2 linked regions of the Ovis aries genome follow. The protein of the gene in region 2 purifies or fractionates together with the protein of the main gene of each other region. This does not show direct contact. Links are inferred from orthologs where the notes say so. Each region holds a gene or a part of one and is shown on either strand. Other genes may lie near its edges. The genes, in order: SAMD13 and L3MBTL3.

Region 1 (3,200 bases), on a different chromosome or scaffold from region 2:
ATAAGCCAAGCCACACGGTGCAGCCATGAAAAAACAAAAACAACACGCCATAAACTCCATAATTGAATTAATTTGGAATACAGTTTTGAATCCCACTCATTTAGACTTTCTCTTCTTTAGAGAAAACATCTCCATAGGAGATTGAATTATAACAGTCTCTGAAATAAGGACTCTTTAACTTGAGGAGGGGAAAGAGAGAATTTTGCAGAGTCCATCAACTCTGCAATGTTTTGTATGTGGGAATATGAGTTTTCATTTGGAGGGAAGGTCCAAAGTTTTCATCGGAATTTCAAAATATTCGTGACACCCCTTCCCCCACAGGCTTATAGCTAAAAAAGAAAAAAAACAGACAAACAGTGGCTAAAATGATACCCTAAATGATAATAAAATTAGTTGTAGGATACAGGTAAGGAATAAGGCTGACTTAGACAATTCAGTTTATAAAGAAGATAAATCTACATATAGATCTACACGTCTTCTATATATATAATTAATTTCTTAAAGCAGGCTTAACTTTCTCTCCATGGTTTCAAGGAGTGACCTCGAAGCCCAACCAAAGAGGCACCAAACTGAAAAGATAAAAAATGAACACACTGAGAATAAACTTAAGCAATGCTTTATTGTAACCACAAAGCACCAGTTCAATATGGCATCAACACACAGAGACTGAACAAATGTCTCTTTGAACAGAGATGAAGCAAGCCCACTTTTTCAAGTTCTTAAAAACAAGTACTCAAACCAGAAATCAAACAAAGCATTGGAGGAATTAAAAAAATAGTACACCATCATGAAGGAATATATATATAGAAAAATATTCTGTACTGGTAACAAGGCTTTTTGATCTATAACTCTTGGCAAATTTCTTCAGAAACAAATTATTATAAATACAAACCATAATGTGGGAAAAAAGTCTTCTTCAGAAACCAAGAATCGATTTAAAAGCAGATCTATGCAGAAAATACCATTAACCCCCATGAAAGCTAACTGAAGATAGATGGATATCCCCAAAACACAACAGAGTTTCTCTTTCCAGAGCTACAGTTCTGCTTCTAAAGGGGCCATGATGTACGTCCATTTCCAACATGGCAGCATATCCCAGTGAAACCTTAATAAGGTCAAGTGGAGGACCCTCTATAAAAAAGGGTGTTGGCAATTCCATCCAAATAACACAAGCTCTAAGGAGCAGAGGACTTCAAGGGAGGTGCAATCCCTTTCTCTTTTATCCCCCTCCCCAAATTTTCTTGCTTTTGATCTTCCCTGTTACAGTCAGTTACCTCTGTAACTGGAAGATGTTCATTCCATTCAGTTCTATTTTCAAGGAATTTGGGAAAGTAATCTATGAAGAAAACCCTCCTTGTGGGGAAGGGTATCTAATCTCATCAAAGACCACTCTATTTGACTAGGTCAACAAGGTAAACCATCCTGTTTGCATGTCCTCACTCCTCCTGGCTGAGTTCAGGTTAGCCGATGGATTGCCTAGTCTATCCCATAGGATAACGTTTCATTTGATTGAAATTCTTTACATATACACATGTATGTATTCTGTTTACAAAGTTTCATCACATGAAACCAAATTCTTTCATTATGTATTTTTTGAGGTCCAAGACCCCAATTTGACTACTAGGAAGAGTTGTGCTTTAAATGCTTTGTCTGAAGAGGTTTTACATGATACTCGTAGATTTTCAGAGCAGGCCCCAGTTTTAACTGAAGTCCTGTCAACACATCATTTCTTGTCATCAGTAGCAGGGATTTTCCGTCAATTTCCTATAATGGAAGCAGAAGGTAAATCCAACATGTAAGTCCAAAAGTTCAAGCATAATGCAGAAAAACAGAAGGAAGAAGTTTTTGTCTCCACACTAAAAACATTACTATTTTTTTTTAAACTAGTGCCCCAAATGTAATCTTCTATTTTTATCTTCCATCTTCACCATTTATTTTGGAGTTAAATATAATCTACAGCTGATTTTGTTTTCAAGATCACATCACAAATGTCACATCTTAAAAAACTGACAGCAAGCCTGGAGTATGTATCCTGAAGGATCAAAGACGAAGCTTCTGAAAGGAAGACCGACACTTTGCATTTAAAAAATGTTATTGAAGTTTAAGAAGAATTTTTGTCTATTTAATTCCCAAAATCACTCCATAAATTAGGACAGGTAGGAATTATCAACTTAATTTTATAGGCAAACCGAGGATAAAGGCAAAAAGTTAGCTTGCCCAGAAGTTACAAAAGAATGGCACAGAATTTGAATTCTCATCTGCCTAAAGCCAAAGCCCATGCTCTTCTCATAACTCACTTCTGTTTCTCTTGACACTTAGAAGCAAATATGTGTTGTCTCGATGGACCAATGGGGACCAGAGTCAGGTTTTCTGAAACCTTTTCGATCAGAACAGCGGGCATTGGAAAAATGACTCACTCTCTGAGAACCTTTCCTGCCCTTTAAAAGGAGAACCATCCTGCTTCAACTTGAATATCAACTCTCATGCTACCTACTCCGTCTTAGTGGAGCCTCAAGAATCCAGATAAGGCAGCGAGGGGCAGGGCTGTGCCCACCGGAAATTCCCTTCCGGATTCCCCTTAGTGTCCACGGGCCCCCTTCTCTCAAGCCCGCGGACTTCTACCGTGGAGACTACAAAATTTTGAAATGACATAAAAACAAGCTTCTTGTGAAAGAGATGAGGACCCCACATATAGAAAGTAGTTTGAAACTTTTGGAAAAGGGCACTGAGAAGAGTGCTGAATACAACCTTATCTTTGTTATTGTGAGGCAACGCTAAGCTAGTTCTAAGGAGACCTGGGTTCGTGAGATGGACCAGCTGCGCATGCTCAGTAAACTGCACACAGCGGCACGTGACTTTACCCGCCCACCCCTCCACCGCCAATGGGCAGACACGGAGACTCGCTGTGCACCTGCAGCTACGTAAAGCTGTGACTCCCTCCCACACTGTCCCCAAGGGGGCCATTCCTCCAAAGCCTCTGATGTACATCGCCAGGCTGTGAGGAAGATGTGCTCTGAATGTGTGAGTTTGGGAGAAACAACGTTGAAGAAACACCCACTTTGCGACCTTAGGCAGTCCTTTCCTCTGCTATCTCCTCAGCTGATAATATGGAATATTGAGTTTTGAGAGGATTTCATGAGATGCCATTCTTGCAAGTGCTCCCTGAGCTATGAATTACATAATCACTTGTCAGCATTCCT
Region 2 (4,306 bases):
TGGTTTGGAGAATTCGGTCACTACTCCAGCAGAAGACACTGTGGAGTAGTCTGTCTCTTTAGGGTAATTTCATGGTCCTAAGGAAAGAATTTAGCAGTTTATTTTTCTGAAACTGGTTCAAGGAACATTCCCGAAGTGAAAACATTCAATCGAGAATATTACTACTTACATTTCGGATAAAGATTTTTAATACAGAATTTCCATCTGTGATATATTTAAATTCTAGGCCTCAGGCAGCAATTTTGGAAAAGGGCCTCCTTTACGGTTTATTAGATGCAAACTAGTCCACTCTGAGGGGTAGGGGGCCTTACTTTATCTCCCCACCCCAGCAAAATGTGAAATTTGCTTCCACTAGTCCTGAAATTACCACCGCTCCTTTTTTTTTCCTTGCATGATGAACTCCGTTATTGACCTAAAAGTGTTGATCACAACTTCAATTTCCTGAATTATTTTCTAAGTACTTGTACCTAGTAGAAAAAGAGAATGGTAAGCTGCCCCAAAAGAGGCCTACAGTCAATCAGTGGAAAGCTGTCAATACCGAAAAACAATACTCTTGCTTGATTTGGTTTTGATGCCCTAACAAAGACAGGTTTTGCTGTTTAGGACCGCTCAGCCATCTTGACTGAATACATTCAGAAGGTAGTCCTCGACCTGCTTACTGCCAGAGGACTTTAACACTGATTTCTAAGTTGACATATGTATCCCAACAGATTTCACAACAGAGGCCTAACGCATTTAAGCTGTCAATAAAGACCAACACTAAGAAACGCAAGGCATGCGGATACTTTACATGCACACTTCATAATGCATTCTTCCAGAGAGAGAGGTTGTGTGTGTGTGTGTGCGCGGTGGGGCGGGGGGGGGGGGGGGGGGGTGGCGGTCGTGGGGGGAGCTTAAAACTTTATTTCTCATTTCTCCTGACCTGTAGCATGTGTTTAGCCTTTAGGTTGTGTTTTTGTAAGACCAAGGCCCACTCTTTAATGGCTGAAAGCATACGTTTAACAGTACATGGTGGATCAGCTGCTCTGAGAAATGCCTTTTTTAAAAAAGTAAAGTGGAAAATAGACAAAGAAATCTATCACCTTAGCAGTCTTTCATATTTGTTTTGATTGTTCTGGAACCAGCTCTGAGCTGGTGACAAGGGTACTGAAAAGATGCACCTGAAACAGGATCTGCGGGCTGCTGCATTTGCCAACCGGCTTTAATGCTGCTTTCCAGCGGCGAAGGCGCAGCAGCATTAACAGGGAAGCCAGCGCGAGCCTCCCCGGCAGCGGCGGCGGCACGGCGGCACCGGCACCAGCGCAGTTTCCCCTCTCCCCAGCCCTGACTCTACGCGCACATGCGCACTGCGCCCGCAGCCCTGGACCATTTGTCAGGACTACTCGTGAGACGGAGAAAAAAAAAAGAGAAAATTTGGGGGTAAGAAGCGGTTGATCGGATCTAATCTCTAATTAATCTGAAGATTTGTCCGTGCCAAAGCCCATTCATTTATTTTCCTAGGTGAGGATGAAAGTTAAGAGACCTCTACAGAGAAGGAAGCGCACCCTCGTCTTGTGAAACAGATCAGGGGAGGGGAAAGGACAGAAGGGGTTTCTCCCCCACTTCTCTGCGCCTCTGGGAAAGAGAAGAAAACTTAATCCTGGGGAAAAAAGTGGGCAAGTGACTCGGAAACGGCTGGAGGGGGAGTCTCTGGGCATCTCACTCTGAAGTAGTGAGTGCGAGTGTGAAAGAGGAACAAAAGAGAGAGAAAAGAGAAAGGAAAAAATGGGGGGAGGAGAGACTTGTATTTTTTTCTTTGCGCGCACACGGGGAAGGGTGTGGGGGGCCGTGCGGAAGGGAGCCGGGGCGAGGCGGCCGCGTCGGGCTCTCGCCCGCGCGCAGGCGGCGGGATGCGTGTGGGCCCCCTCCCCCGCGCCCCCCGAGCTTGTCACTTTGGTCGCTTTCATGACACCGGGCGCGGGGTGGGGAGCGCGGCGGCGCCGGGCTCCGCCGGGGTGCGTGCCCGAGTGGGCGCCGCGGAGCCGCAGCCCGGGCGGCGAGCGCGGCGGCCGAGGCGGGGGGCGCCGGCGGCGGGGGTTGGGGGGGGGCGCGCGGGGGTGGCCGGGGCCGCGTATCGGTGCGGCGGGAGGCGCAAGCCCCGCGCGCCGCCCCTGCGGCCCCCTCCGCCCGTGTGGCCTTTGTGCCGGGCGCGCACCGGAGAGCGAGCGAGCGAGCGCGAGAAGTACAAGTACGGGAGACCGAGGCAGTGGGAAAAGAGGCCGGGCCACTTTCTCCCCGCTCGGGCTGCGGAGAATGGACTGGTTGAATGTGCAGGCGCGTCTCCCCGGCGTGTGCTGTGTGTGTGTGCGCGGCGGAAAGGCCTCCCCGACTCCCACCGCGCACACGCACACTCACACGCACGCACACACTCACGGACCCGCGGCGGGCTCGGCGGCCGAGAGTTTGCGTTTTCTTCCTCGCCGCCTCCCACTTCCCGACCGACTGTGTGAGAATTTCATATAGATCAGCTCCAATTTCCGCCATTTTGGGAAAGTTGCACAAAAATAAACCCTCCGGTTTATTTCTGCCCGAGGCAGGAAAGTGCTTCGGGAAGCGAGGCGGCGCGGGCCCGCGGCGGCCGTCCGCGCGGGGGAGGGCGCAGGGCGCGGGCCGGGCCGGGAGCCCGCGCCGTCGCGGCGTTCGCCCCGCGCCGTGCCGCGCCGCGCCGCGCCGGGCCGGGTGCGGGCGCGGGCGTGTGTCGGGAGGCGGCGGCCGCGGCCGCGCCGGGGCGGCGGGCGCGGGTGGGGGGGTTGAGGGGGGGAGGCGCGGGGCTGCTTTTCCTGCAACTTGTTTACGCCGTCCTTATATTGGGGAGGCAGAGAGGGGTCCGAGGCGGGGCCGCCGCCCGCCTGGCGCGGCGTGCGTGTGCCATTCCGGAATAATGGGTTTTGCACACTAGCGTCCTGGGCCCGGCCGGCCGTCCTCGCGCCGCGGCGGCCCGGCGGGGGGAAGTAGAGGCCGGCGGGGGTGGAGATCGGGGAAGCGCAGGAGCCGAGGCATCCGCCGCGCGCCCCGCGAGCTGGTGGCGGGGGCGGGGGGGGGGGGAGAGGGAGGAAAACTTGGGAGCACTGGAGGCGGGGGAGGGGGGCACGGTGGCACGGGCGGGGGGAGGGCGCAACTTTCGTGCTGGTGGTAAAACTTTAATTACCTTGAAAGAAAAAGGCCCTCCGGTCTCCCCCACCCTCTCTGGGCGAAGCCCGGCCCCAGCGCGACCGTGAGAGAAAGTTTAAAAGCGGGCACTTTGCTCCCCGCCTTCCCCGCGGAGGGGTAGGGGTATCTGTTTGTCCGTCTGCGCTCGGAGAGACGTGGGGGTAACGAGCCGCCCTCCGGGGTCGCGACGATCGCGGCTCTCACCCCACCCTTCCACGGGGAGACGAAGGTAAACGTCGCTTCAGTTTCCCTCCTACCTCCTCCCCCCCGCCCCCCCGCTTCCTTTTCCTCCCCCTCCCTGCCGATTTTTTGAGGGGACCCAAAAAACGGAGTCTCTTTCCTTATGCAACTTCCTCGGACGCTGCGAGCACGGCCCTTCCCCCCTCCCTGCATCCCTCGGCTGGCTCCTTGACCACCTCGGGTCTACCGCCAGAAAAAAAATGCGTTAGAGATCATTCACGGTGCACCGAAACAAAAATAGATTTTTGATTGTTCTAAGTTTAAGTTAAGGGAAACTGAGATGAGAAATAAGAAGGGGGGGAGCGGCTGGAGCGAGTGCGTCGAATTTTAATTTTCCTAGAATGTTGTTTGTGATAGCTTTATTGCTGTGGGGAGCCCGAGAGTCTCCGTACTGGCTAACTCGGTCGCGTGGATTTTTGCGCAAGTTTTTAGAAAAACACTGACTCGAGTAGAGCATTTCTCCGGAAAGTTTCAAGTGCAGCAAAATAGCGAACGTGCAAAACTGGCCAAGGGGAGACCTCTAGTGGTTAGACGCGTCTTTAAGTTCGGAAGGCCGAGAGCAAACTTTGGCCTTTACTTTTTAGCTACGTAGTCCGTTCAGACGTGGAAGTGATTAGACGACCTGAGCCAGGGGCCAGATGTTGAATGAAAGGATGCTGATCAGAAATAGAAAGTTTGGTAAATCGGAGAGCAAATGAAATCTAAGGACCCAGCCTTCCAGTTGGGGTACTTCTATAGGAAAGTAGAACCTTCTGAACTTCATGACTTCTATGAACACTTTGCTTTTATTCTGGGATTTGAGATCGGTCACTATGGATTAGACGCAGTTGTTTGATTTTTTTTTTTTTTAATATTTGTCATTGTCTATACATTTGAT

The links.
Region 1: the proteins of L3MBTL3 (region 2) and SAMD13 purify together in Homo sapiens (affinity purification with mass spectrometry; 3 studies listed by BioGRID and IntAct, counting the BioPlex papers as one, with this or other methods). This does not show direct contact. The link is inferred for Ovis aries from reciprocal best matches to the Homo sapiens genes L3MBTL3 and SAMD13.

Annotation. Positions count from the first base shown.
Region 1 is NC_056054.1:61,363,218-61,366,417, reverse strand, and holds the end of SAMD13 (sterile alpha motif domain-containing protein 13), read right to left. Parts: exon of another isoform or gene 1,771-3,200; intron 1,765-1,770; coding exon 1,621-1,764; 3' UTR 601-1,620; downstream 1-600.
Region 2 is NC_056061.1:55,649,320-55,653,625, forward strand, and holds the start of L3MBTL3 (lethal(3)malignant brain tumor-like protein 3), read left to right. Parts: upstream 1-1,335; 5' UTR 1,336-1,419; exon of another isoform or gene 1,420-1,500; intron 1,501-2,032; exon of another isoform or gene 2,033-2,485; intron 2,486-3,277; exon of another isoform or gene 3,278-3,418; intron 3,419-3,528; exon of another isoform or gene 3,529-4,306. UniProt on the Homo sapiens protein: Is a negative regulator of Notch target genes expression, required for RBPJ-mediated transcriptional repression. It recruits KDM1A to Notch-responsive elements and promotes KDM1A-mediated H3K4me demethylation.